7 linked regions of the Oryzias latipes genome follow. The protein of the gene in region 5 purifies or fractionates together with the protein of the main gene of each other region. This does not show direct contact. Links are inferred from orthologs where the notes say so. Each region holds a gene or a part of one and is shown on either strand. Other genes may lie near its edges.

Region 1 (4,248 bases), on a different chromosome or scaffold from region 5:
ATTGTCATGACCTCTATCACACAACATCAATCATGTCATGGTAACCAATGGGCTCAAAGCCCCGCCCCCATATAACACTAGCCTGAATAAGTACAGGAAGGGTATCTGGTTTAAAACTCTGCCAAACCACCTTTGCGAAACAGTGACAGCTGTATTTCAGAGTTTCAATTTTAAAATCTGGTTTTCCAGTCAATTTGAGATGATCCTGATTTGACCCTGTGTGTTTTAAGTGACATAAAGAAAGAAGAATGCATAAAGATAAAAGCTTCAAATCTGATCCATGGCTTTCTCTTTTTAAAGTTCCAATTCCAATCATCTTTGGATCCATTGTAAAAGCCTTCCCTGTGGTCTTTTTATTATGATTATGCTGCTAAGAACTCTGAGCAGCGAGCTGGGTTTTTTTTTTCAAACTGCCTCCATCATCAGAAAAAAGAAAAGAACATGTTGGAAACACCAAAAAACAAAATTTTCATCGGAGTGCCTCTTCACTGATGACGACTTGCCTTGTAAGAATGAGGGCATCTCGGAATGCGAGGCAGTTTCCCAGTGCAGCAGCGAGCCGTCCTCCGAACACGTGAACAGGTGATCCGGGTTTGTGGGGTGGAAGCGAACCTCCCACACTGACGAGGAAATCCAAAGGAAAGTTAGTGAAACAGAACCAGAGATATGTTTAAAGTGAAATAAAGAAAGGATCTGACTTTCAGCCGAGTGTGCCTCCATGAGTGAGATGGGCGTGCCCCCCTGTCTCACGTCCCACACACAGAGCATGCCGTCCTGGCCCCCGGTGGCTACGATGTGCTGCTGGTTGGGATGTCTGTCAACGCAGTGCAGAGGAGCTCTGTCTCCTGACCTGGTGGAAAAAAAGACAAACAAGTAAAGGTGTGTTTCTGAAAGGATAAAGATACATAAAAAAATAATAAATACATCAAATTTCAGAGCTCTTACAGGGACAGAATCTGCGATGGGGAGCTGCTTTGCTGCCTGAGGTCCCACAGCTTCAGCTGGCCAATGGAGTTCACCGTCAAAACCTCCGTGGTCTTCAGGTAAGTCACCGCGTGAATTGTGCTGCTGTCTGCATTCTCTAACAAACACAACGGACAGTTTTAGACTCGACTCCTGATGAGGCGGTAACATCCGAGTCCTCATCTCACCGATGACCCGGACCGCTCCTTCCTGGTCGGCTCTGAAGACCACGATCCTGCCGTCCTCCCCGACAGTGACAATCTCCGGGCTGCTGCAGACCAAGGCGGTGCAGGGCGCGTTGTCACAAGGGTAGCTATGCGCCCTCGCCCAGTGCTGCAGAACTGAAATGGTCTGTTCAGGAAACAAAAAGGAAACCCGTTTTTAAACATGACATTTTGTTTTCTCCTCAAGAAAACCGAAAAGAAACAACGTACATGAGTGTTTGGATGATAGCGGAAAATAGTGACTGCTCCCGTTGATGACGCTGAGACCATCCGTTCCTGGTCCAAGAACTAAAACATGAAACAAAGAAAAACAAGAAAAATTACTTTATCCAAACAATGTACACATTTAAAATCATTTAAAATTAAAACCTATTGTAAAAACATTCCCAGTGTTTTTTTTATTATGATTATGCAGTTTTTAGCAAAAATCAAAAACCCTGTGTTGTTCCTTAAGACATAATTTCTGCAGAGCAACAGAAGCTCATTAGAAATTTGTTTCTGGGTTGTGGATGGGACTGTTAGCGTGAAAGTGACCCTACCATGATTTCCCAGCATTCCTTTGTTTACACGCTTTCCTGCTACCTAACAGCCGCTCACAACCCCAATCTAACATTAGCGTAGCACAAGAAAAAAAAACAACCTGCCGTACAGTTTAGATTTAGATTCCAGCTCAGACAAAGGAAAACAAAGACGGATGTGGATCTATTTGTCTGCGTGCGGAACAGGGAGACTTTGGCCCGCCAATGGCAGTTGCTGCATCGCAAACCGGGTCCTTATCCATTACAATTTAAATAAAAAAGTCCTCGTAAATGCAGTGCTAAGCTTAAATCCTTTTGTCCTCCATGATGAGAAAAATGCTACAAAAACATGTTAAAAACACACATATCTGAGTGAACCATCCAACATAATAAAGTGGGAAAATCCAGAAGAATTGAACAAAAATGTAATCAAATAGTTACACAAATTGATCAAACATTTGGGTGTGAGCTTCTGAAGGATCTTTATGACTTTATAACTGCTGACACTTATTTGACATGCTGAATAATTTTAATGACAGAAAAGGGAACATTTAAAATTTCGTTTTGGTTTTGTGCTCATTTCTATTTTTCATTTAGTTTGTTTATAGGCCTAAATAAAGAAATGGCTCCACAGATCAAACATCAACACCGATGATTCCGTCATTAGAAGCTTTTGGGTTTCTTACTTGCAGGTCCAGAACATCTCCGCCATGTTTGTGCTCACATAAAATTTGTGGGTCTCCTTCAAATCCGTCTTCTAATCCAGAATTGTTGTGATTTCCAATGGACCAGATAGACACCTTGTTGTCCTATAAATCAACGGGTTTCACATTAAACTCAGTGAACATTTAAATCACGACGACAAATGAATCAAAACAATTTTTTAAAGTGTATTTAAATAATTTAAATTAATAAAAAAAATTGAGTTAATTAGCAAGCGATCTTAATAATTTGTGTGGTTTTGCGCTAGTAGTAGTACTACTAGCTAACCTCGTTGTCCCACGAGCCCGTAGCAAAGACTTCTGGTTGTTGCAGTGAAGAATAGGAAACCGGACACCATCTCGTCTTACTGATTTTCTGAGACACATATTTGGCATTTATGCTCTCCATGGAAATTGAAGCCTTTTTGTTAAAATTTGAAGTGTTGTTTTCAGTTTACGGACTACACGAGAAACTACGCGCCTGCTGCTTCATACGTAACTACGGTGGCCCGAGAAGACCAGATCACAGTGTGCTATTCTTCTTTAAATTAATAGATAATCTGTTTCCCCCTAGCGGCCGACTTCTTTATTACCCAACAATTCCAATAAAGCAGAGACAGAGGAATTCCCTCTTTAAACTGACACTGGGCTCAGTACGTATCTAATTGGGTTTGTATTTTATTAAACTGTACGTGTTTTGTTAAAAGGGAGTGTATGTGAAAGGCGGCCCGGTAATAAAATCATTTGGATGTCTGGTGACGTATCCGCTCCGCCGTCTCCGCTCGAGGTTGCGAGCTTCATCGGGAAAACTGTTGGCGCAGGCGCGGCACTGACAGCTGCTGTCTACTTACTCCGCAAAGTCTGCTTAATAATGGCCTGGAAATCTGGAGGAGCCAGTCACGCAGAACTTGTCACCAACCTTCGCAGTGAGTCTTGTAGCGTTTTTAAGGTGGCATCGGCAAGCAATTCACCCGCGCGACGCTGGAAAACTGTTTTCGGGCGCGTGCTTGTTAGCGCAGGTGCGGTAGCTAGCTGGTTGCTTAAACTGTTAACCACTGTTGCCCCTAGTTTCTCCACCCCCTTTTTTTTTTTTTGCCAAACCACGTTACGCCGTGGGACACGCGCGCGCTTCTGTCATTTTAGATCAAAATAAAAGCACTAAACACCCAAATTACATAATATTTGCATTAAATATTTAGGGTGTATTGTGATGTTAGCCCGGCCAGCTAGCTATGTATGTGCGTCATGTAGGAGCATGTAGCTAGCGTTAGCAGCGGCGCTAGCTGTGTGCCCTGCCCACATCCATTGATGTCTGTCTGCACTGGCCACTGCGCTGTCATTTCACTGACGAGAACAGTTTAAACCGTAAAGCTCGACTCTGGAAACCACCCTTCTGTTGCACGAGACAGAAATTCACATTTGCTGTGTCACGATAGCAGCTAGCAACATCGAAAGAGCGACTTAGTGCCAAGTCCAACTCGGAATAAATGGTAATGTCATTTTGACACTTAGCCTTTTTGTTCATAATAAGCCTTTAAGCCAGTACATCAACTTATTTAATGCTAATATGTGAATTTAATACGATATTTGCAGACTTGAGTGTGCGTCAACATTCACTGTCAAGTATTTGCCAGCTCTATTTATACTCTCTGTGCTGTCAGGGGTATCATTGCTCGCTTTTTTGCCCATAGCTGCGTGTTTAGGAGGGCATCAGTCTCTATATCTGCTTATCTCAGTCCAGACATGTTTGCTTCCGACTAGCACACTTCATTTGGATTGAAGCAGACCACATGCAGAAGGCATGCTGATCAGTCTGCCACCTCTGGCTGAACCTTTCAACCC
Region 2 (4,358 bases), on a different chromosome or scaffold from region 5:
CTCATGAAAAATGACATGGAGACACGATTACTGATGATTTTGTAGAGCGCTTCAAAATAAATCAACCTGATCTCTCAGCATCATCCTCGTCTTGCAGTAAATGTGATATTCAGTTGATGCTTCCATGAAGCGACGAGGCTAAAAACTTTGAACAGTAGCTCCTTCCACACAGGCGTCAAGCAGCCAATCTGACACGTGAATCGTGTTCGGCGTCAATGCAGCACAGCGTGACGTATTGCTGTTAGGAAGCTCTGATAACAGCTGCTGGAACTGTGCGTGGAGGTTTGACTGACCCAGATGGAGTCGGTGATGCTTTCGGTCAGAGCTCTGCGGGTGTCCCAGCTGAAGATGTGCCGCTCTGAGCTGTCGTCCACCTCCCACTTGCTCAGGCTGGAGGAGGTCAGCGCGTACAGGCAGCTGGTTTGTTCCACCCACAGCACGCTGTGGAGCTGAGCAGACACAGCAGTGTGAGGCAGACATGCAAGGATTCCTGCAAAAAGATGGAGGGACTCTTAATGGAGCTCACAGTGTCATTGGCTGGCGGGGACAGGATGCCAAACAGGCTAGAGACGCGGCGTCCGATGCCGGACAGCATGCCCTGACCCTGCTGCAGAGCTCGATGCTGCAGCTTCCCAGAGGAATCGGCACTCGTCCTCAGCAGCTGATTCCTGACGGTCGACAAAACGAAGCTTCCACCCTGAGAGCAGCACAGGCCGTGGAGGAAAGAGCATCAAAATCCGTCTGTTTCAGGAGTGAAGCTAAAGATTCAAACCAGGACAAAAGAGTTCTTACTCTGACGGCAACAACAAAGTTGCAGAGATCTCCCAGATCCACATCTGACTCCTTGTAGTTTCCCTCATGGGCCAGACTCGGCCAGAAACGAGCCGATCCTTCTGCCGTCACCGCCAGGACAGAGATGGACTGAACAAGAGCCGTCTCCAGAGGAGCGGCGGAGGTCACGGCCACGAGGTCGGCGGAGTAATCGTACTGACTGCTGGGCAGCTGCAGCTCCTTACAAACGGATAACTGCAGGAAACAGTGTTTAACCCAACATGTCAGAGTCAGAAAGGGTTTGAAACCATCCAGAGTATGTTGTCGAGTTTGTGCGTCACACCTTTGCGACGGCGGTTTGGCAAATCTTCCATATGATCAGACTTTCTCCACAAACCATCCAGGCCCATCCGCTCTCATTCACCTTCACGGAGATGCGCTCATCAGCTGGAGGGGAAAACACCAACAGACTGAGAAAAATGACCCTGAATTACAAAAAAAACCTCCACTCCAGGCAGAGAAGAGGCTTCTCTCACCGTCAGCCATGGTCAGAGCCTCCATCACTTTGACGGGCAGCGAGGAACCGAATGTCTGAACGTCATAGTTGATGGTTTCTGCGGCTGCGTGGCTCTGCACGCGTGTGGGAGTAGACCTGCATGAGAAACACGCCTCACATCAAAACAAAGCAGTCTGGGCGGGACCTTCTGCTCGCCGCATGTGTCACAGAAGTCTGTGGTCTTGCATGAAGACCAAAATGAAAGTATAGAAAAAAAAATACATTTCCTGATCGAATAGACGCGTAATTCCTCAGTCTGAGGGTTACAGCACAAAAAACTATTTATCACTCAAAGAACACGGATAGAAAAACTGATCACAAAAAAGCTGAATAAAACTAACAGCTAAATTAGTTGAATACATTTCTGTTTGAAAAATTAAAAACTAATTAATAACAAAAAACAAACAATGAAACAAAAAAAAAACAAAAAGGAAAATATTTAGTACCTGGTTAGGGTGAGATGTTTTAAAGTTATTTAAAAAACAACAACTTGATTATAAAATATTTAACAGATGTAGTTGAATTTCAATAAATTTCACATATAATGACAAATAAGGCTTTCTTTTCCATATTACATAAAAATCATGAGGACCATTTAAAATATCAGTAAAAGTGAAATATCAAAAATGTAAAAGGATGCTAAAATCCAAAAGTCAATTAAATTTTAAAGCAAATCAAAAAAGAATAATAATGTTATTACAGTTCAGATTCCAAGGTGTCATTTTTAAAACTATTTCTTTCGTTACAAAAACATTTTGCACATAATTTAATGTTTCTAAACCACAATAAGTCTTATTTTCAAAAATGTAAGGCATTTCTACATTTTACAAAACAATTCATGGATTAGAAAATTGACAAAAAGTGTTTTGACTTAATATATATATATTTTTTAACCCAGCCATTAATCTGCTTAAATATAAAAACTTTTGGGAAATCTTTTAAAAGAAACATTTGCTAAAAGTCTTGAATAATTCTGACATGTTTTCCATTCATTTAAAATCAGAAAAAACACACATTTCGGGGGTGACAAAAGAAAAAGAACAAGCATAAATCCTCTGATGGAATCTAAAGTTTTGATGCCCAGTGACTGAAATATCTGAAATAACGAACTTAATGAGTCAGAAATGTCAAATTGTGAATTTCCCCCCACCTGTGCGTCTCCTCTGTAGCAGTAAACTGTGTTTAAGTGTTTGAATCCGGGTCAATTGAACTAAATTACTATATGAAATGTAAAATCAAAAGCCGGGTTTCAAGCAGAATGCCGTTTCTTCGGACAGTCCACTCACCTCGCCGACAGAGGCGTCCTGCGCGGGGAGAACAGCAGGCTGTTGGCCGGCCCAGAGAGGCTCTTCCTCCCGGGGGTTCGGCCCTGCGGCCGGCGACCGGAACCTGGAACAGTTCTGGGGCTAAACATACTTTGTGCCCCCCTGACAGCCCAAAAGCTCCGAAACTGTATTACTAGTTTGTCTCCAAAGCTATTAACGCGATAAAAGAGCAAAAAACAGAAACTGAATCCCTCGAACCAAACACCGCGCGGTACAGTCGCGTGAATAATACGTCATTATAGTCCCGCCCACATATGTATTTTTTTTCAAACTTTATTGAATGTAAAAATTCAATACAAAACAATGTTAAACAGTGAACAACAACAACGAAGGAACAAGCCAGGGGGTTAATACATTTTATGCATATATATTGAAATTAACACACAGATCTAATGTTTTGATGGCGTTCTTATTATCAGAGTTTCTTATTGTCTTAATGTATTGTTTGAACTCATTGATAAAGATTGAGAAATGAGGGGTATGATTCGTAAATTTTGACTTATGAATGTGCCATTTGCATAAAAACAACAAAAGGTTAATGAAGTACAACTGTTCTTTTTTATGAGATGGACAGTGGGTGATGCCAAACATAACATTTTCTAAGTACAGGCGAAAGTCTGGGTCAATGTGGGCGGAAATGAAATGACAAACTTTAGACCAAGAAGTAGTGGAGAAGGGACATGACCAAAATAAATGTACAGCATCTTCAGGGTGTTCTTGACAAAAAGAGCAGGCAACATCAATATCTTCTTTGAACCTTTGCAGATATAGTTTGGTTGGATAGAATTTATGGATTAGTTTGAATGAGATTTCTTTCACTTTATTGGTTAAAAAGTATTTTGCCCACATATGTATATTCTGAAACCACAAAAAAAAAATATATATATATTTATATATATTTTAATTAAAGGTAGAGAACAAGATTGTTGCAAATCAGAGCCTGAAGTTAAAGGGAATCATATAATAGTAACCTTTGTAGAAGGTTGACTTTAAAAACAAGAATTTAGAAACAAGATCCATGTATCTTCGATTTATTAGTTTGTCACCGCCAGGCAGAAGCAATGGAGCGAAGATACATAGCGGCTAGCTAGTTTAGCATTTCGGATGCAAGAACGGGGAGAAGATAGGCGGGTATCCACGATGGGGCGCCACTGTAATTCAGCGGCGTAGTTTTGGCGGACCAACGGCAAACGGGAACACCGGACCATCGTTAAAGAATTATCTGCTCACGGAACGGGACAAAAAGATATGCAGTGAGTAGCATTTTTAGCTGTTAGTGACGAAAAAGCCCGTCACTATTAAGAGCCACCTACTGGCTAATGCTAAATTGACCGGCTAGCTCAGTTTTTTAGTGCAATCCTCCAGAGTAACCACCGGATTATTTAGTCTTTATGCTTCCGATTTTTTAAAACCAAGATCAGAATTTTCAGTCAGTTCTCACGAATTTAAATATTGATTTGGTAAATATTTAGCCACTGGAACTGTTGGGGGCTTTGCTGCTGTAAATAAACATCATCTTCCACAAAAACTGACTCTCAAGTCCCTCATCATTTTATAATTGACTGGATTAAAACAAATATCCCAAAAGTTGTTTGTGGACTTTTCAGGCCATGAAGAGGGTCCGGACTGAGCAGATCCAGTACGCTGTGACCCAGTACCTGAAGAGGCGGCAGTATGTGGACACCGACGGCTCTTTGAAAGGAGCC
Region 3 (3,685 bases), on a different chromosome or scaffold from region 5:
GTGTGTGCTGACGATCCGAGCTGTGCTCAGACACACGTTTAGACCCGGTTCTGAGTTTGATAGCTCGTACCCCTAGAGCTGCGGGACGGATCGCAGTCTTAAATCTCCCACACATACCGCTCATGTACCCCCCCCCCCCCCCTTCCCATCAAACATAAAGCTGTAAATCCGCGCTCCGCCGGTCCACTTCGCTAGTTAAGTGCAGGAGCGGACCACTTCTTTTCTATTTTGCTTGTTACTTTTTCTGTTAAAGTCACTTCCCTCAGTTTATACTGGATCATTGCGGATTAACCATTAGTTGGGAAATAAAATGAAAAAAGCAAAATAACGAATAGCAGTTATATAAGAACGAAAAATGTAAAAATACCCCCCCCCCCCCCCCCGACGATGTCATCGTCCATCCCGATGGTTGACAGCAAACATCGTCAACGGCCAAATTAGGGGACATCGCCCAACCCTAAATTCAATACAAAACAATGTTAAACAGCAACAACGAAGGCACAAGCCAGTGGGTTATTATTACATTTGATTATAAATCTGACACCGTCACTGAAGAGAGACTGAAGCATGTCAGAGATGTGGAAGACATGGCAGGAATAGATAGGAATATGTTGGATGGAGTAGTGGGTATAATTAGTAGTATGGACAGCAAGATATTTAATGAATGCATTGAAGATGAAACTGTATCCACTAAGCTTTAAGATGAATGTCAAAGAATCAAAGGCAACTCCAAATACCTGAATCTCAGACTCAAATGCAGTAGAATGTTAAACTACTTAATTTTGTTTTTCTTTACAACACTGTAAGCAGTAAGTATTTCTAGTTAGCTGAATGATCTCAGTTATTTGATTCGTTAAATGGTTCAAGCTGCCATTAGATTGTTTTAACACATTTAAGGTTTATGATTTATTGCGCTATTTGCCGTTAGAAGCACCATGAAAACTTCTTAACTAGTGTTACCTACTACACTGCAGTGCTCTCTTCAAAACATCTGAAACAGACTAGAGCAGATTTAAGTTTGATATGGTCTATTTTCAGTCATTGAAAAGTGTAGAAATAAGTGATGTCACCAGAATGCACCAAATTGCACCATATTAAAAGTTTCCGGGGGGGCATGCCCCCGGACCCCCCTAAAGTTGCAAGCACCTGCGGAGCGGCGGGTCTCGCTGTGCGCGGTGTCGGGCCAGTAACTTTCAGGCAGGGCCAGTAAGTTTCAAAAACTACTGGCCCTGTGGGCCAGTGCAAATTTCTGGGCTATGTCAACCCCTGGTCTGAGATTCAGGTATTTGGAGTTGCCTTTGATTCTTTGACATTCATCTTAAAGCTTAGTGGATACAGTTTCATCTTCAATGCATTCATTAAATATCTTGCTGTCCATACTACTAATTATACCCACTACTCCATCCAACATATTCCTATCTATTCCTGCCATGTCTTCCACATCTCTGACATGCTTCAGTCTCTCTTCAGTGACAGTGTTGGATTTATGATCATCGCGGTGAAAAACCACCAGGGGGCGCGCTGATATGTGTGTCAGTTCAAATATATCTGCCTAAAATGTAATAATAACCCACTGGCTTATTCCTTCGTTGTTGCTGTTTAACATTGTTTAGTATTGAATTGTTACATTCAATAAAGTTTGAAAAAAAAAAGTAGTGAGCGCGTGCCGCGTGGTGCTCGGCAGTGAAAGCCGCGCGCGCAGGCGGGAGAGGAGGAGAAGTGATCAAAGGTTTCCCATAGAAACCCTTGAAGTCTGAACACAGGACTAGCAGAAAAAGTGAATTATAAAGACGAGGTAAATCTACACGTTTTCGCAAAATATACTTTATTGAAAAAGATGAAAAATGTATTAATTGTTAGATATTTTAGTGGCCCGAGCGGACAAGTAAAAAATAAAGTCTTGTGGTCCGTACTGCTCGAAAAACAGGACCGGGCCAGCGGACAAATGGCTATGTCGAGCCCTGGAACTTGACGGACCAGAACACAACTGAACTGTGGCTACTGATCTGTACAGATCACAGTTCAGCCGTGATCCATTGCATCCCTGTTGGGTTTGAAGGCCTTAGGCCGAGCGTTAGTAAGGTGGGACAGTGTGAGGTGGGTGAGACGGCGTCAGAGTAAGATGAGCGTCAGGTGAGCGTGACACATTGCCGTCTTCCTGATGGATCATTTGAGCTCATTTGTTCTTTTGCATGTTTGAATGGATCCTCAGGATATGCAGCCACCGTTGATGGTGGGGTCTGCTGCCCTCTGAAAACAGTACAGCCAGCTCTGCTGAAGGGCTATCAGGGGTTCGATTCCCTCTGAGGAAGACAGTGAGATTAGGAGGTGTTGCTTTCTTTTTATTAAAATGGCTTTTATATTTTTGTTTTTCATTAGTCGTATATGTAAGTAGGCCACATGGGAAATGTTGCAGCAATGCTGAATCCGTCTGTGGTGTTCTGCCGGGTGCCTCTCTTTCTCAGAGTCTCTGTGCTGAGGGTCTTTGAAGGTGGTGGTGGGGTTTCACCATGTCGACATGGCAACAGGGTGGAACACGAAAGGAAAAAACGGGAAAGGAAGCTTTACCGTTTTTGTGAATGTTTATTTAATAGAAAAAACACCCTGTAGCCGACTGCAGTGTCTGAGCAGACATGGCCCTTGAGCAAGCTTTGGATGTTTGTGTGAAACCCTTTAAAGGAGAGAAGCTGTCTGTTTTTCAGCAGTGTCTGTCTGAAAACAGAAGGAACCTTACATGATCCTCTTTATAAAAGACTGGCGTTCCTCTTGGTAGTTTGACAGCCTGGTGCGCTCCTGACAGCTTCTCCTGGGCCAACCTGGAGGTGAAGCAGCATCTGACCCCACCTGTGTTTCCTGTTTGCAGGTGTTAGCTGTCTCCCTGGGGGGTTGAAGGTTCCCGACAACGCCGGAGCCTTTCATTATGAGGAGAGCGGCAACCTGTCGACTGTCACCAGCAACAGATTTGTCCACTGGTGAGCATCTCTGTCTCTACTGATGGGTGTGGGTGGGGGGTGTTTATACAGGGGGGTGTCTCTGTGGTCTAGTCCTTCCCATTGACTGTATCTGAGAACTGGAACCATTGTGACCTCCTCCATAGAAAATGATTTACTCTAACCAAATGAAGTGAATTCAGTCACCATTTTTTGGAGATGCAGAGGCCACCATTGCCGCGGCCATCATCAAACCAGAAATTTGTCAGTAAGCAATCAGGAGTAAGCTTGTTGAAAGGCCACGCCCCTACCATTTGCAATCACGCTATTCAAAATTAGCTGAACCTTTAAAACGTTGGATGTGGGGCCAGTAGGCACTACCTACCTTTACTGAGGCATCTGATTGGCCTTTTTAACTTGAATAACTTCTAATACAGAAAGATTATGATTTAAAAAAAAGATTATCAAGAAGATGTTAAAAAATGAATCGGAGCAAGAATGGTTATTCTGACCAATAGAATGACTGAGGAACAGCTGTTTATTTCTCTATAGAAGTCTATGGGATTTTGGCTTCTTGGAGCCAGCAGGTACTTCCTGTTTGGAATGCCACAGGGGAGGGGTCACTCAGTCCCAGATTTTCCTGGTCAAGACCTCTTAGTTTGCTGGTCCTAGACTGAACTGTGATGGGGATGTCCATGCTGTCCACGCATGATCAGTCAGGGTCTCTGGGTTACGCTCACACTCGTTGCAGGATC
Region 4 (4,238 bases), on a different chromosome or scaffold from region 5:
AAGGGGGAACCAGATCCTGTTGCACCTGAAACACAAGACAATAGAAAGGAAACAAAGCAAGAAGACTTGCGAAAGTATTGAAACTGAAATTAACACATACCTGTTGCTTTGAAGAGGGTCTCATAGACAAAGATATTACCTTGACCCCATGCAAAGCCCATATGCTTTCCTCTTCTGAGTGCAGGAATATTCTGTATTGAGAGTGATAACACAGATTTCCAATTGTAATAATCTCTGCAACATTCAATAGAACATTATTGAACATCACTAAAGTGCTTATTTGACCATTTCTATCTTGTAGCAAAGCTTTTTGGGATTCAATCTAACTAAGTTTTGTTTCCTTATATTTAAAAAAAAGACTTTCAATCAATATCTACTGAAAATCCTGCAAAAGTACGTTCTTTACAATCATAAGGCATTTGACACGGTGAATCATGAGATTCTTTTGTCTAACTTTTCTATGGACTCAATTCAGTGGATAAAATCATATCCAGAATTCAGAAAACAGTGTGATTGTATTAACAGTGTCAAATCAACTCTCTTAGATGTCCCTGTTGGTCTACCACAGGGATCAATACTTGGGCCTTTATTGTTTTCTATGTATATTAATGATCTGCCAAACACATGTGGTAATGTTGAATTTCAAATGTATGCTGATGATGCTGTCATATTCACTAGCGCAAAAAATATTCAAGAAGCAGCCTCTATTCTTACCTCAGCTCTGGTTCCTGTAAATGAATGGCTTTCTAAATCTTGCTTACTGTTAAATACAACTAAAACTGTTTGTATGATGTTCACTAAGCAACCAGTGGACATCAAGCATTCAGGTATATTTTTGGAAGAACGGGAACTAGAAATTCTATCTAAATTTAAGTATCTTGGTGTGACACTTGATTCAACTCTGAGCTTCAAGAGCCATATTAAAAAAATTCACTTGGAGCTGCTAGAATGTTTTTGCATTCAATGATTCTATCACATATTGAATACTGTATTACATGTTGGTCCTTGCCGGGTGTAAATACGAGCAAAACCATAGAATCACTTTATAAAACAATCACTTAAGGTCTTAGATAGAAAACCAATGTCATTCCATGTTTGTAATATCTTGAAAAAGTACAAGTTGTTGAGCTTTGAGAATTTTAAAAATTTTAAATTCGCTTGTTTGATGTACAAGGTGTTACATGGACTTGCTCCGCCTCCCATGTCTGACTTTTTTTAAATAAGGTCTCACAGCGCTCTCAGGACTAGGGCCTCGTCTCGAGGGGACTGTGAGGTTCCACACAGAAAAACAGCCTTTGGACAAAACGCTCTTTCTGTAAAGGCCAGTAAACTCTTGAACAGTCTTCCATTGTACATAAGGGAGTGTCAATAATTACAGACCTTCAAAACACAGCTCAAGCAGTGGCTGAAAGCAAACCAGTCCTGTAACCACTGACTTTTAACTCTCATAATGTACCACTTTCTTGTGTTCTTATTGTATCTGTGACTGTGTCTTTTGTTTTGTCCTGTTTTATGTTTCCTGCCTAGGGACTAGGGATGCAAATTAGCATCATTGCTATAATCCAGCATGTTTACGCCTATAATCATTGTTTGGTAGATGTTCATTAATGTGCACTGTCCCTATTAAACAAAGCTTAAATAAAATAAAATCATTTTAAAATGTCCTGGCTTTCAAACAACATTCGATTTATTGCCTATTAGTTGCAATGTTACAACCAACACTCTTATGGTTTTCTTTTGCCTTTCTTAGTTTTAATCCATTGGACACATGCAACAGGATATTTATTTACCTTGACATTAAGACAGAGACTGGACTCAAAAATGTCCAGGAAAAGACTTACCTTTCTTTGTTTGACAAAGCACAAAATAACTTAACAAAACGTAGAAGACAAAAATAACGTTACATTTTGATTTTCTAACCATTGTTCCAAGTTTGTTTCTTTATATCCAAGAACATGTCAACTGTGACATTGTTTTAGCTACGAAACCTCCAACTCGTAATGTCGGTCCGTAACATTTCATCATAAACTTTTGTGTTTGTATCATTAACTACTAGTGTATTTTTTTATTCCGAATTTTAGGATTTACAAAATTCAAAATGCTTAGCTAACTTGTTAGCTGCTATTCGATAGCGCATAACAATAAACTACATAGTACGAAAGACTTACGGTTATCGTCGGTTCAACGTCTACCTCCTCCATCGGATGAAACTTTTTAGATCCTTTTAAATTTCAAACTATGAACTTTTTCACCTTAATCATGCCATTTAACACGTGCTATAATATAGCAACGCTTGCGCGCCTCTCTTTTTCTACGACTATCTCGCGCATGCGTCAAATGTAGGACTGTCCTACTTAATGCCTGTTTTGTTTTTTGTTTTTTTAAATTTGCAAGTACAGTACTTTCTTTTACTTTTAATCTACGTCAAGAAAACTGACATGACTGAAGCAAATAACACTATCTTTAGAATCGATATACATTTAAAAGTCGAAGTAATTTTATTCCGAAAACGTGTAACATATTCTCAGAATCAGGAAGATACAATCGTATCATATTGTTAATATACATTAAAACGTTATATAAGTTAGCTATCTTAGAAAATATATCGCCATATCGGTAAATGTTGTCGTTTAGTCGGTGCCTGTTTTTTATTGTAACAAAAAAAGAAAGAAAAACCAAGATGGCCACTGGGCTATAATGAGGGGTTAAAATAAGGAGAGTACTAATATATCACGCTGTACATCTAATACCGATCATATGGGCGCTTTATGAAACGTGCAGCACTGATACTAGTCTTCGGCGTGACGATGAACAGATTTCCTTCGTATATAATAGACCTAAACCAAAAACAAAAGGGAAAAATTCTGCCGTGCGCGTGCATGTGAAGCCGAGTATCTCTGTAACGCGCAGGCGGTAGTCTCCCGCCCATAACTAGACTGCGCTTTAGTCCACGTGACTTCATGCGGCCAATTAAATCCTTGTTCAGTGAACGCGCATTGACACATGCCCGCGCACGTTTCCCCGAATAATTTAAACGGGAACGAGTACGTGCGCGCACTCATATTCTTTGTGTGGTAGCATAGAGAAGCGCCAAAAGAGTGACGATGGCTGATGAAAAACCAAAGGTAAGTGACCCCATTGTCAATTACGATGCTATTACAAATTAACTGGATCGCCGATCTTAAAGGTGAATTTACATTCCCGCGTGTGCTGTTCGTATTTTTTTAAATAAAAAAGTTAAGTGATAAGATTCAACTGTACCTACTTTGATGGACCGGAAGGTATGTGAGCGCGCATGGACTGGCGCGCACGTCGCTTTTAGGCTGATTACATCCCGCCAACCAGCTGGTGTCGTTCTCTATAAATCTTGCGGTTTTCTTGCGTTGTGTTTGTGTGGTAATTAAGTTGTCTGTGTTTTGTAATGACGCACCAGAATGGAAAAAATAAACAAGAAAACGAACTGTTTGTATTTAGTCTCTAGACTAAACTGTTCTAGTCAGTCTGCAACACTTTGGCTTGACTCGTTGAAGAAAACGGGTTATAACAACTGGATACCAAAAATAAAATATTCAAATACTTGAAACTAATATTTAACAATGAATACGTGTTTTTTAGCATCTGTTTTTCATACGGCCTACAATTATGTTTCTATCCCTGGTAATTCTGGTATTTTATCTTTTTATTTTTCCACTCTGACAAACATAAAGAACTATAGAACAAACAATCTGCATGATAAACATTGCAACCCACTTGCCTCACAAAACGAACCTTTTTTGTAAATAAATAAATTAAATTAACTTTTTTCTGGTACAACAGAATGGTTAAATCCAGGTACATAGGTGTGACTTGTTGTGTGTCTTGGATCGTGTTTCCTTAAGTTAAAGGTCTTCTTAATTGGAGGACAGGTCTTCTTAATTTTTTTTCTTAGTCTCTAAATTTTGAATGTTGAACCCCAAGAAAAATGGTTCCTATCAATAGGTGTGTTAATGGTCAGAAAAGCTCTGAGCATTGAAACAAAGAAAGAAACCATCGAGCTGCACCTGACGTTCAAGGTGCGTCCTGCCGAACTGTATGACCACGGGGGAACAGCAACGAGGTCAGAAAACTATTCAGAGATGAAGATGAGAGGCAGACGGAGGCAGAGCTCATCTGCGAGAAAGTCAGGGTATGAAGAAATAAAGAAGTACAAATGCAGAAGGAGCTAAAACAGAAGAAGAAGAATCCAAGGCTGTTTGAGT
Region 5 (4,327 bases):
TTTATCAGCAAATATGAAAAGATATAAATCAAAAATAGATTGTTGTCCAACCCAGACCAACACGGACCAAATGTATTAAAGCTAGACTGTTGTCACTGCCAGAATCAGAAGATTACTGAACGCTGTGAAGAACCAGGTAAAAGAAAACTGTAATCAAAGTGACGTCCTGCGTTTTGATTGGTGGTTTCACTGCAGGAGGCGGAGCCAGTCCCGGGAGGGTTGCCATACAATTTCTTGAACGAGAAGAAAAATACATTTATATTTATTACAATATTTAAATATACATATATATTAATTTTATTTATTAAAAAATAATTTATCTATCACATTTTATTTATTTATTACAGAAACATTTTTTTCATTACAGATTTCTTAGACAAAAAACACTACTCATTACAAATTTGTACTTATTACATATGTTTTAATAAAAAAAATATTACTCACTTTTTGATCATTACAAAAACATTTAAAAGATAAAAAACAACACTGAATTTATATCTACCATGATGTTTTTTTTGTTAAACAAAAAAACTACAACAATAAGTTTCTTTACTTTTAGAAAGAAAATGTTCACATTATTCAAATTACGTATTATTTAATTTTGCCTTTAACTGCTTTTTTCCCCACATACTCTTTAAATCAATTAACTTTTCTTCCCTATCTGTAACTTAAAATACAGACTATTAAAGCTCTACTTCATCTAAGCTGTCTTTAACATTTTTATTCTTACTTTTATTTGGAGGTTGTTCAACATTTTTTCAGACCCTGAACAGAAATGTTTTAGTGTAATGTTAATTCAAACATTTTTATAGCAATACTTGTCAAATATAATAAAAAAAATTGTTAAATTCAATTTTATTGGTTTATTATGAGCATTAAAATTAAAGGTATAAGATAATAAAAATCACAAAACATGTCCAACCTGTTTCAGATATAAAGTCATACATTGATTGGAAAATGAAAAATATTAACAAAGATGAAAGAAAATGATGCCATCTTCTTAACAGGTTAAATTCCCTTAATTATAAATGGACTTAATTGCAATAATTTTTGCAGTACACAAAATAAATATTTGATCAAATAAATTTAATGATTGTCAAATAGTTTTATTTGTTGTCTTTCAATGGAGTTAAAATTAAACCGGCAATATTCCGTATCTTTTTTTGGTTGTATATTGGCTGTAGGGTGTTTATATTTAAAGTCGCCTTGAACTTCAAAAATGACATTTTGACATTTCCAAAAATTCTAGGATTTCTAGAAGGGAATTTGTGTGTTATCAATCAAATAGTTAAAAAGAGAATAAAGTTGCTGCAATCTTACGCCGCTCCAGCAGGGGGCGGTGTGGTCAGCGGCAGTGCCTTGAAAACACTTCTCAGAACGAGGGGGCGGAGCTTTCTCCCAGACAGGCGGAAGCTAGCGATGTTTCGGTTTTGTTGTTACCGGATTCGAGTTACAAAAACAAACAGTACCGTGTAAAGTTGAGCTTTTGGGTTAGATGCGGCCCTGTTAGCGCAAACCAACTGCGTTTGAACGGAGAGCAGGGGAGCAGCCGGAACAGTCAGAGTCATGTCTGCTAAAATACAACAACAAGCCAGGGGTAAAGACAGCGGCGAACTGATCAAAAACCACCACAAGCAGGCGTTTGAGTTTATATCGAAGGCACTGAGGATCGACGAAGACGACACAGGTTTGTTTACGGTGGTCGTGTCTCGACAACGACTCTTGTCGACCGTCTGTGACCCGCCTTGTGTGACGACAGGAGAGAAGGGAGATGCTGTGCCGTGGTACAAGAAGGGGATTGCTGAGCTAGAAAGGGGCATTGCTGTGGAGATAACTGTCCAAGGTATCCGTCCGTGTAGCAACCGGAAGGAGGATAGACGTGAACTTAAAACCACTTTACAGCTTTTTTGTGTGCTTTTTTTCTCTCTCCAGGAGAACAGTATGATCGAGCTAAGAGACTACAGGATAAAATGGTAGCCAATCTTACCATGGCTAGAGACAGGCTGGCTTTGTTGGGTAAGTTGCCCTGAGGTCCGAAGTTTACAGTTTAAGTGCAGATAAGAAAAAAAGTCCACTTTGTTCTGAAGCCTGGCTCATTTCAGGTCACATACTAAGGTCAAAATAGTCATTAGACTAATATGTCTCCTGTATTTGATGGATTTGTACAAAATGCAATAGTACTTTCCATGTAAACAAATACAGAGACACAATGGAGAAAAACAAAAATAAAATAAAAGCAACACAAAGAGAACCAGGGGGGTATTCCAGAATGCAGGTTATGCTAGTTACCACGGTAAGTTTGAGGCTAAGGAAGCGTAAAACCTCAGCTTTCGGTTCCAGAAATGGAGGTATGTTTCAGAGTATGTCAAGTTGCCATAGCAACTTATGCTCTGAACATAACCTGGTGTGGAGCAGGTTAAGTTGAAGGTTAGTTTGTTTTCACAGAGGTGAAGCAGCATGGCATTCTTTCTGCACCAGGAGTGAGAGGATGATGAGGTTATTTACCAGCCCTACTGCCAACTGGTGTAGTAAAGTTGGAGAAATGGCAAATAATTTAATGCTATATAGCTATTTTCTTTTTTTTAAAAATGAGTATATCTGTCGGCTCAAACTTAGACATATGAGATATCAAGAAGTATAATAAATTAAGATGGAAAAACAATTAATTGAATTGGAGTAAAATTACATTTAGTTAGATAAATATGTACATTTGAGTTTTATAAAATTGAGCTTGATAGATGTAAAAAATTAGGTTGAATAATTTTAACTTAATTACTTGTTACCAATTGAAGTAATTCATTTAAGTTGGATAAGTTATATATATATTTGCGTCACAATGAAAATAGAAATGAGATAGAAACTTGTGTGTTTACTTTGTCCGTTCTTTTTCTCCAAGCAGAATCTCTCTATTACTTTTTTGATGGACGTATAATCTTCATACGCCGTCATTAAAATCTCAGACTCCGTTTCACTGAAGTGTAGCGCTCTCTTTTTTTTCTCCACGCGTTTCCATGGTGACTCCGTAAATCGGCGATCCATTGAGAATGTCTTTATGTACCTCCATTAACCCAGGGTTACCAATTCCAGCGTAATTATGCTAACTCATATCCACTCTTTTGGAACCGACATACCCAGAGTAAGCAAGTTCAGGTGGATTTCAGCCAGAGTTCAGGCTTAAAGTCAGGGTAGTTTAAACATGCTTCCTGGAATACCCCCCTGTTAGATATGTGTTAATACACTATTATCTATTGTTGTTGTGTGAAAATCACAACAGAACAAAAAAAAAAGAATCAATAAGGCTGAAAAAAGACATATTCATGTTTTGCTGAGAGCTCAGACCAGGAAGCTTGTGGCCCCGCCCAGCGCATTTTCTACGTCACAAATACGATCGTTTGCTTACAGGATTTTTTTCGTCTGCTGCTGCTTCGCAACAATTTGCATAAAGAAATTCTTAACTTTCTTTAGAAAAATGCCACCAGAACATGTTCAAAACCCCAAAAAGTCTTGTTGCTCTAGTTGGGTGACGATGCTTCTGGTCAAACACCAGACATTTGCACTTTGCACACACCTATTATCATGATTTCATTCACTTCTTTGGGATTGGCTTCAGGTTAACCTCTGTCTGACTTCCATTCTCTGAACAGAAATGTTCCTTCAATAATATGTTGTGTTTGTTTTTCTCAAAAACCGTCCTAAACATTAATAAACGTTTTATTGTCCTTCTCAGAGTAACGGCGAACATTCAGCAGATAAATGGATAAAAAATGAAATTCAATCAGGATTTTACCAATAAATATCTCACAATGAACCAAATGTCCCCATCAATGCTTTTGCAGCAAAAGTTGATGATTATTTATCAGTTTTAACCAACACTGCAATTTTATAGATCCTTTCTTTTTTCCACACAGTGAATTGTGTTTTTTGCAGGAATAAATGAGCGACCGCTACTTTTCATCCACTCAGTTCAGCTTTTCTTTCACACTTTCTACACGTTTTTACATAAATGTTTTTGTCAGTTTCCCCCCCAATTATTTCCCTTCCATGCCAATAATTACTTGATCGATACGTTTTTTAATTGGGTGTCATTTAATGGTATTTTGCTTGTTTGGATTCTCTGCTGTTAACAAATCCTCGCTAACTTCTGTTGGGTTTTTGTTTCCAGAGAAGACGTTGGCTTCTAAAAAGAAGAGCAGTCCACCTCCAGCCACTGGTTTGTCTCAAACTAAACCCAAAAGCAGCACTTCATCAGCAGGAGGATCCACAAACTTCAAGCCCTCTTCTGTCGCTAGACCCCAATCCAGAACCACTGACTCAAAGGTGACCTATA
Region 6 (3,685 bases), on a different chromosome or scaffold from region 5:
CCTACTTTACTCTGACAGACATTTTGGATCTAGTTCTTACCTGCGTTCCAGCAGTTCCAAATCCTGAGCTGGGTTGTCCGAACAATCCAGTGCCCGTACCAAATCCTGTGGCTGTGCTGGTCTGCGTCAAGCCAAACAAACCCCCCGGCTGGGAAGCCGCAGTGTTTCCGAACATGCCCTGAAGAATCGCAAACATTTTTCAGAAAAATCCAACCACCCTCAGTGACCCGCTGGCTGCTGCCTGGACCCTCACCATGCTGCTGGTGTTAGGCTGACCCATGGTGTTGGTGTTGCCAAAAGAGAAGGTGGAGCTTTGAGTCGTGGTCGACCCACCGAAGGGTTTGAAGAGGCTGCCGGTGGTCTGCTGGTTGGGCTGGCTGAACAGACCCCCAGTGGTTGTCCCGAACCCACCCGCCGCTGGCAGGAGACAAATACGGAGCATTTTTCAAATCCAGAAGGGCTTTGAACGTTTGTGATTGAGATCTGGATAAAACGCCTGGTATGATTTGATCAGCGCCTTAAGATGCAGATGAGGGGAACTGATCATGTGCAAATTAGGACAGGAGATACATAAATAAATAAAAACAGAATATTTACACAGATACATGTATCATAGGTTGGCGTTTTCATGCACCTTTTATTTTGTCTGGTGAAATTTAATTTGTTCTGGATAGGCAGCTAAGAATATGTGCATAACAGATGCAGGACATTTCTGTGAAACCTATTCCAACAGTTTTCAGGTGAGGAGGTTCAGCCTTTAAAGCATAATTTTCCCATATAAATGTTAGCGATTTAAAAACTAATTTCTTATCGTTTCATCTGTAGTACAAAATATTCAATTTGGACCCATCTAAGCCAATTGTCATTGAGTTGTTGAACACAAACTGAGGAGGGGGTGTGGTGCTTTGCTTAGAGCTCATTACATCCCCCGTCTGCACACCAAGCCCCTCCAGATTGTGTTATCATTTCGGTGATCATCTGATGTATATTTTTGCCCTCTGCATCAGCTCCACTCACAGACATTGGAGCGAGGTGCAGCATCACTTACTGGATACAAACGGAGTTTTATTCGGTCCAAAGGCAAAGCTGTTGTTGGAGGTGGATGGCCCAAAGAGACCCGTTGTGGCATTAGACGTGGGGGTGGCTGCACCAAACAGACCACCCGTCCCTGCCGCGATCGGGTTGGTCGGGCCCTTCCTCCCCGCCTGGTAATCCTCCAGCCTTAATTCCTACATGAACACAGGAAGCAGAAACAAAACTCAAGCTGAGAGTAAAAGACAACCCTTCTCAGGTCAGAGGTTCACTGTCCCTCGTTGGCACAGATCTGTCCAAACTCACCTCCAGGGACTTGTTCTCGTACTCCTTCATGGCCGTGATGCACTGGTGTTTGGTGTTGATGCTTGTGGTCACACCTGCTTTCACCATAGTGTCAGTCCCTGATGGAGGCTGCATAAACAAAAACCGTTTTCATTCTGAGACACTTGGTTCATTTCGCATCAGTGAAGTTTGATTTTAAAGCTTTTAAAAAGCAAAACTGTGATAAAATGCTGTTTGAAAAAGAAAATATAGAAAACATGAATGAAGAACTGGCTGTTGAAATCCAGCTCCACAACTACCCATGATGCACCAGTTCCTGCAGAGCTTTGCACTCACATTGAACTTGACCGTGGTTCCTGGCTGCTGTGCAGCAGAGAACCCAGAGCCTCCGAACATGGAGCTAGAGCCCCCAAAGGGATTGGGGGCGGCATTGGTTGACCCAAACAGCCCACCGGTGCTGGTGTTTGTTCCAAAGCCTGAGGGACATAAAAAGGAGAGCTCAGCACCTGTACGTTTCTAGCAGTTAGAGGGGAGTTAAAGCTGTAGACAGATGACTATGCTACTCTGACAACAACACTGATCTTCTCAAATATTCTCATCTTCATGGTTCCCAGCAGCAGCTCCCACTGTTCAGTCTAACAGATGGGTGGATGAACCTCTAAGAACAAAGAGTCTGCAGGATCCTTACTACCAAAGGTGGCAGGTTTGTTGGCACCGAATGCATTGTTCGGTTGGGAGAAGAGTCCACTACTGGTGCCTGTTGGAGTGCTTCCAAACAAGTTGGTGGAGGTGCCGCTGTTTGCTCCGAAGCCAAAGCCAGTACTCGTGGAGGAAGTAGGTGGCTGGCTGAAGGTGCTGGATCCAAACAGGCCGCCTGAATGAAGCAGCAGGACAGGCATTGATGAATAAACAGTTCATCACGTTGACACAGGAAGACAACTTTAAAGTCAGGCAAGTCTCGCCAGAAGATCGCTTTCTTTGTAGATTTAAGCCAGTCTGACATCAGAGCATTCAGAGGACAAGTGTGTGACCGACAGAGTCAGGAGGTCAACGATGACGTCCTCACTGGAAGTGAACGTTCTTTTATTTTTGGACACCAGGGATCTCTGTGATGGTCCCAGCTGGACTAAATCATCCTTTCACCAACATCCTCACTGTTCCTCCTCGAAACCTGTCCAAACCATCTCCATCTGGTTCCCTGCATTCATCTCCCAAACATCTACCATAATCTGTTCCTCTGATGGATTCATTCCTGATCCATCCTGGTCTCTCCCAAAGAGAACCTCAACATCTTCATCTCTGCTACCTCCAGCTCCAGTGACACTCCAGTTAACGTTTGTCTGTCTGTCCGCAAATATCCAATGTATTTTAGGGTTTCAATACTATGGGAACGGTTTTAACAGCTTGTTAGCCGGAGTTGTTCCTCACATTTTGTGTTGTTGACTTTTTGGGCTCAGAATCATGTTTTAACATCATGCATCTCTGACCAAGTCGTTCCCCCTTCCAACACTGCATCTTTTTTGCTGCCCCTTTGGCCTTTACCTGCTATGTTTGAAAATGTCTTTCTTGAAATGAGTCAGTTAATCATGCTCTTCTAATGAATATTCCATTGTAAAAACATTTAAGAAGAAAAGTACAGATCCCAAACTTTTATCAGAACTGTTTTTTCCTGAACTTAAAGCCTTTAGCTCAACAAGAACCAATTTTCCCTCATTGTGAAGAAAAGTATTCTGATGCCGATTCTACAGCATGGCCCACACATCGTATAAGGAAACCAAAGGAAAGCACACAAACCAGGTTTGTTCTGGGTGGAGCCAAACAGTCCTCCTGTGTTGGTGGTTGCCCCAAATGCAGATGTCCCAAAAGCTCCTGTTGTCCCAAAACCTGTGTCTGTAGAAACACAAAACAAAAGAGGAAGTCGTTACAGCAGAAACGATGCTTTCAGTTACCTGAAAGAAGGACTGGTTACTTGTTGGCATGAACACGTATATTCAGCATTTTAGTTCTATATTGTACATTGTCAAGTTTAGACTACTTGGTAAAACTGTATAAGAGCTGTGAGTTTGTCGTGTGTGGTGACTTACTGCTGTGCATCTAAAAAAACAAACATTTTGATGAACATAAAATCTTTTGGTTGAAAGGGAGCACTTTTCAGTTCTTTGAATATTTATAAAGCGGCATCATATGTGAAATTAAAAAAACCAAAATGCTTCATGCACGGAAATGCATAATATAACACATTTGATGATATCATCCGACTTATAAGCACAGCTGTAGCAGTGCTTGGCATGTAATAGACAAGGGATTGGCGACCAAATATTAATATCTTACACTGATAATATTTGCTTCAGTATCAAAACGTTTGACT
Region 7 (4,237 bases), on a different chromosome or scaffold from region 5:
TGTTTTACTGTTCTGACCGGCTCTCAGAACCACAGACTGGAGAACGTTCACCTAAAACATGACGCAGAGCCGCTCAGCGTGACGTCCAGAACCTGATCTGCTCAAAGGCATCGCTCTACTCTACCTTCTCCTGGCAGAGGCTCTGATAATCCTCCAACAGGTCAAACACCGCAGAGGAAGAGTGCTTCAGAAAGGAGGCAAGGAATTCTGGGAAAAGACTTGCAGCTGCTGCAGAGAAAGCAAAGTCAGGAGAGGTTGGTTATTAAAAAATGATACGCTTTCTTCTTTAGAGGGAAATGTACCTGGAGATGCTGCTCAAACAACAATGAGGCTTTTTCGTTTCTCATCAATTATTCAGTCTTTTACTGTCATCACATCATAATTTCACATCAGGTTTAAAAACACATTTTAGGACAAGCTTCGAGCAGCGAATTTGACACCCGATTGGCGTGTGATGTGAAGGCATGAAAGTGGTTTGTTTTCCTCACCTGCATCTCCTGGATCGTCCTCCTTGAGCAGGGCTGAGCTCAGGTTGGCAGCATCGTCTTTGAAGAAGCTGGTGTTCTCCAGTCCAGACACGGGCGAGGTGTAAAAGCTGTTGGTCCAATCGCTGTCGTCCAAATTCTAGATACGCAATGGACGGGTTTGAGTTACAGACTGCAGCTGATCCCGGCTGTCCCTGCACATTAATCAGGGTCTCACCAGACTGCTGAGCGCGTTTCTGGGCGTGTGCATGAATCGAGGCGTTCGACCTCCAGGAACCAAAAGAGAAGAAGTGGCTGGAACCCTGGGGGTGACTGAGAGGCAGAGACATGAGGTAGGAATAGCTCAAAGCCTCAGATCTGACATGAATGTGAGCATCTCACCGGCCTGCCTGAACAACGAGGCAGGAGTGTTGATCAGGTGGGGGCGGGCTGGTGTTGCAGCAGAAGCGATGGGGCTGCCACCACTGGGTGACGGGACTGAGGCCAAGAGTCAGGAGAAACAAAGAAACTGTCCCGACATATAACTGTACACACAGACGCACAGAAACACACACAGCTACTGAAGCTGGAGGATACAAGCCACTTTCTTCCTCCTCCTGGCTGCGACCGTCACCTCCTCCTCTCGAACCACCGGAGACGGAAGCTCATTCTGACCCCTGGAGGTCAGAGAGATCAAAACAGAAACATACATTATCTTACTTGAAAAGCCAATTTTCTCCTAGTTTCATTTCAATGTGAATCAGGAACAGACGAAAAAGCGCCAAATGAAAAAGATAATAAATATCATGTAGCAAATATGCCGTTTGGGGCCACAAGTTCCATTCTGATGCATCCAATGCAAGAGAATGCAAGAGATCACATCACTCCTGTGTTGGTTTCGCTCCATTGGCTCCCAGTTGATTATAGAATCAAGTTCAAGATCCTCCTGTTAACCTATAAGGCCTTACATGGAATGGCCCCGTCCTAAATCAAAGATCTCATAGTTCCTTACCACCCAATCAGAACACTTCGTTCGCAAAACGCAGGACTGCTTGTGGTTCCTAGAATTAGTAAAAGTACGGTTGGAGGTAGAGCGTTTAGCCACCAAGCCCCTGTCTTATGGAATAAACTCCCAGCTCATGGAAGAGAGGCCGACTCAGTTTCTACAGTCAAAGTTAGACTTAAAACATTCCTCTTTGGACAGGCTTATTGTCAGACTAGTTAGTATTCAGAGATTATTTAACTTAATGTTAATTTGTTTAAATTAAACTTAATAACTTTCTTTTAAAAGGCTGCTAGAAGTTGAAGCTGGGGTAACTATGGTGCACTGGGGTTCTGTCCTCTTTTCTCTTCTACTTCTACCCTTCCTCTCCTCTATTCTTGATCATTATTCATCATTTAGTTCTCCATGCCTCTGTTTGGTGCAGTGTGATTCATGTATTGTCACTCTTTTCCTCTCCCCTCCTGGGGAGTGGGAGTGCTTCCAGACTCCAGTTGGATCATCCGTGCTCCAATTGCTGACCGTCTACCTCGCCTTTGCTCCTGCTCCTACACCTGGCTGTGGATCCTGCCTCTGACTCGACTCGCGCCTTTGACTGTCCCCCCAACCACGGCTGGATGAAGCTCGTCTGCTGGACTTTAAATGTGTAGTTGTAGATTTAGATAAGTAAATTCTTCTCTAAGAGTTCTGGTAAATCGCCTGTCCGTCCTGGGGGAGGATCCCTCCTTCATGTGGACACCCCTGAGGTTTCTTCGTTTTTCCGGAATCCGTTTTTATGGGAGTTTTCCCCTTAAAATTGAATTGAATTGAATTTAATCCATTTGCCGACAAAAATTGATCCATGAACGTTTTTGTTTTCCACGTCTGAGCTGGAATCTGGATCAAAACTGTACAACTGAGAGATCTCAAATATGGGTGACGGGAAGGGGGTGGGGTTAGGTGTAACTCAGGTGTACTAATCATTAGTACACCTGAGTTGAGGGAGTTTAATTAACTCCTGCCGCTCTGCAGAAGAACATACTACTACTAGTATAACTGTGTCCAAGAACGACAAGTGTTTGTCTTTTGGCTAAAAAAACAGCACAATCAAAAAAATAAAAACACTGGGAACGCTTTGAAAATAGATCAGAATTTAACCTAAGTGGGTCTTTAAACCTATCATTCATTATTTTTGACTAAACAGACGTCATGACATTCAGCTGACTGATTAGCTTGATGCTAGCATCGTTTGCTAATCTGACTCTTGTAACGTTTCCCGGAGACAACAAAAACGCAAAAACTGACCGATCGAACCGTACAAATGTGAACGTATCAGTGTTTCACAGCTGGTCACATTAATGACACAAAAATTTAAAATGTTTTACCAGTCCATGCTGGAGCCGATTCCCGCTCCGATATGTTTTCTTCTTCTCTGGTCTTTTACTTCTTCGCCTCTTCTCACGAATCTGCCTTTGAATTTAAGGTAAATCTGTCAGGCCTGTCAGCTGACTGCTGCCCCCTAGAGTTCACCATTAGATTACATCTATTTTTGAGAGGACGAAATAAAAAAGACAATATAAATATTAATTTAAATATTAATTAAGCATATACATATCTTTTAATTTTCACTTTTCTTTCAGTAATCCTATTATTTGTAATTTTGTGTATCAATTTGCCTTTTTGTGTTTTTTAGATTTATTCATTTAGTTAAATAGATATTCAGATCCACTATTTGATTAAAAAAGTTCACATTTGTGTAATTGTGTCATATTTACATTTTAAGTGATTATTCAGTCATTCATTTCTTTGGCCTGTTCAGCTGCTGAAAGACAGAGTTCCTTGTGTGTTGTACAGATTTTATGTTACAAAAGGTTTTCTTAAACACTCCAAACTGTTTAAACTTGTATTTTAATAGCTGATGTTATTTGAACTTCCATCCAGAGAACAGAATGACAAAGAACACATTAACCATATGATATGATGCATTTGATCTAAATCAAATCAAATAGTTGTCCTGCATTTTTTTTAAATGACTTTAAAGTTGTGCCTAATTTTGATATTAAATAAACAGGAAGTTTTTAGAAAAAAGGGTCTTTTTTAACAAGAGTGAACATTGTAATGTCAGGAAGGAAAATGTTTCAATACGTCTGATTTCAAAGATTGTGTATTATTTGAAAATTCCGTTTAAAAAAACATGTTGAAAAATATTTTTATACATTAAGATACACTTTATGTTCCCTACATAGAAGTTGAATTGTGTCGGATAAACGCTTTTAAAAGGATGTATTAGGAGTTTTTTCCCTTGTCAATTCCCGGCTGTGGTCGGAGTGAGACGTCTTTCCTAATAGACCATCTTTGTGCTCTGCCCTCCGCTCCGTTAGCTGCCGCTGTTGCGTGATCGATTCACGCAGCTCAGCTAAAGCAGGAACACCGGACGCTTCGTGGTCCGGTTAAAAGGAGATCTCCGCCGTTCAGAGAACCGGAAAAGGAGATTCTCACGGTCAGCAGCGGGTCCTGGTCACCTAAGAGGCCGGATCGACCCCCGCCGGCGGATCCCCAGCGCTGCCAGAGGGTCTGTTTGACCCGGGGGAAGATGGAGACCCCAGGTAAACTTTTCCCACTGCGTGGCAGGATTGGAGGCGACGGCCGCACAGAGAGGTCATTCATCAGATGGTCGCAGATTTGAACCTGGACCCCGCAGATCAGACTCTGGTGCGGGATTTCAGAATAAAAGAACCGCGTTCTTCTGCATTTGTTTGATCAATGACGCAGGTTCTGGTTTAAAAAGAAGCTA

The links.
Region 1: the proteins of spast (region 5) and nup43 purify together in Homo sapiens (affinity purification with mass spectrometry; 3 studies listed by BioGRID and IntAct, counting the BioPlex papers as one, with this or other methods). This does not show direct contact. The link is inferred for Oryzias latipes from reciprocal best matches to the Homo sapiens genes SPAST and NUP43.
Region 2: the proteins of spast (region 5) and nup133 purify together in Homo sapiens (affinity purification with mass spectrometry; 3 studies listed by BioGRID and IntAct, counting the BioPlex papers as one, with this or other methods). This does not show direct contact. The link is inferred for Oryzias latipes from reciprocal best matches to the Homo sapiens genes SPAST and NUP133.
Region 3: the proteins of spast (region 5) and nup160 purify together in Homo sapiens (affinity purification with mass spectrometry; 3 studies listed by BioGRID and IntAct, with this or other methods). This does not show direct contact. The link is inferred for Oryzias latipes from reciprocal best matches to the Homo sapiens genes SPAST and NUP160.
Region 4: the proteins of spast (region 5) and nup85 purify together in Homo sapiens (affinity purification with mass spectrometry; 3 studies listed by BioGRID and IntAct, counting the BioPlex papers as one, with this or other methods). This does not show direct contact. The link is inferred for Oryzias latipes from reciprocal best matches to the Homo sapiens genes SPAST and NUP85.
Region 6: the proteins of spast (region 5) and nup98 purify together in Homo sapiens (affinity purification with mass spectrometry; 3 studies listed by BioGRID and IntAct, counting the BioPlex papers as one, with this or other methods). This does not show direct contact. The link is inferred for Oryzias latipes from reciprocal best matches to the Homo sapiens genes SPAST and NUP98.
Region 7: the proteins of spast (region 5) and nup107 purify together in Homo sapiens (affinity purification with mass spectrometry; 3 studies listed by BioGRID and IntAct, counting the BioPlex papers as one, with this or other methods). This does not show direct contact. The link is inferred for Oryzias latipes from reciprocal best matches to the Homo sapiens genes SPAST and NUP107.

Annotation. Positions count from the first base shown.
Region 1 is NC_019882.2:17,710,156-17,714,403, reverse strand, and holds the start of nup43 (nucleoporin Nup43), read right to left. Parts: upstream 2,934-4,248; 5' UTR 2,816-2,933; coding exon 2,696-2,815; intron 2,515-2,695; coding exon 2,392-2,514; intron 1,476-2,391; coding exon 1,398-1,475; intron 1,315-1,397; coding exon 1,152-1,314; intron 1,082-1,151; coding exon 946-1,081; intron 851-945; coding exon 699-850; intron 621-698; coding exon 504-620; intron 1-503. Other genes in the region: pcmt1 (protein-L-isoaspartate(D-aspartate) O-methyltransferase), read left to right, coding at 3,155-3,332. UniProt on the Homo sapiens protein: Component of the Nup107-160 subcomplex of the nuclear pore complex (NPC). The Nup107-160 subcomplex is required for the assembly of a functional NPC.
Region 2 is NC_019859.2:2,092,336-2,096,693, forward strand, and holds the start of nup133 (nuclear pore complex protein Nup133), read right to left. Parts: upstream 2,888-4,358; 5' UTR 2,742-2,887; coding exon 2,614-2,741; intron 1,424-2,613; coding exon 1,308-1,423; intron 1,219-1,307; coding exon 1,115-1,218; intron 1,027-1,114; coding exon 793-1,026; intron 698-792; coding exon 527-697; intron 450-526; coding exon 294-449; intron 1-293. Other genes in the region: taf5l (TAF5-like RNA polymerase II p300/CBP-associated factor-associated factor 65 kDa subunit 5L), read left to right, coding at 4,263-4,358. UniProt on the Homo sapiens protein: Involved in poly(A)+ RNA transport. Involved in nephrogenesis.
Region 3 is NC_019864.2:4,331,037-4,334,721, forward strand, and holds part of nup160 (nuclear pore complex protein Nup160), read left to right. Parts: intron 1-2,863; coding exon 2,864-2,972; intron 2,973-3,681; coding exon 3,682-3,685. UniProt on the Homo sapiens protein: Functions as a component of the nuclear pore complex (NPC). Involved in poly(A)+ RNA transport.
Region 4 is NC_019866.2:13,020,784-13,025,021, forward strand, and holds the start of nup85 (nuclear pore complex protein Nup85), read right to left. Parts: upstream 2,885-4,238; 5' UTR 2,202-2,884; coding exon 2,169-2,201; intron 192-2,168; coding exon 101-191; intron 26-100; coding exon 1-25. Other genes in the region: sumo2 (small ubiquitin-related modifier 2), read left to right, coding at 3,105-3,125. UniProt on the Homo sapiens protein: Essential component of the nuclear pore complex (NPC) that seems to be required for NPC assembly and maintenance. As part of the NPC Nup107-160 subcomplex plays a role in RNA export and in tethering NUP96/Nup98 and NUP153 to the nucleus.
Region 5 is NC_019873.2:27,910,721-27,915,047, forward strand, and holds the start of spast (spastin), read left to right. Parts: upstream 1-1,375; 5' UTR 1,376-1,566; coding exon 1,567-1,687; intron 1,688-1,759; coding exon 1,760-1,843; intron 1,844-1,932; coding exon 1,933-2,016; intron 2,017-4,162; coding exon 4,163-4,317; intron 4,318-4,327. UniProt on the Homo sapiens protein: ATP-dependent microtubule severing protein that specifically recognizes and cuts microtubules that are polyglutamylated.
Region 6 is NC_019872.2:23,882,505-23,886,189, forward strand, and holds part of nup98 (nuclear pore complex protein Nup98-Nup96), read right to left. Parts: intron 3,208-3,685; coding exon 3,112-3,207; intron 2,192-3,111; coding exon 2,006-2,191; intron 1,794-2,005; coding exon 1,654-1,793; intron 1,447-1,653; coding exon 1,339-1,446; intron 1,230-1,338; coding exon 1,049-1,229; intron 418-1,048; coding exon 254-417; intron 179-253; coding exon 41-178; intron 1-40. UniProt on the Homo sapiens protein: Plays a role in the nuclear pore complex (NPC) assembly and/or maintenance. NUP98 and NUP96 are involved in the bidirectional transport across the NPC. May anchor NUP153 and TPR to the NPC.
Region 7 is NC_019881.2:22,230,519-22,234,755, forward strand, and holds the start of nup107 (nuclear pore complex protein Nup107), read right to left. Parts: upstream 2,932-4,237; 5' UTR 2,837-2,931; coding exon 2,829-2,836; intron 1,142-2,828; coding exon 1,062-1,141; intron 963-1,061; coding exon 867-962; intron 798-866; coding exon 703-797; intron 625-702; coding exon 489-624; intron 229-488; coding exon 125-228; intron 52-124; coding exon 1-51. UniProt on the Homo sapiens protein: Plays a role in the nuclear pore complex (NPC) assembly and/or maintenance. Required for the assembly of peripheral proteins into the NPC. May anchor NUP62 to the NPC. Involved in nephrogenesis.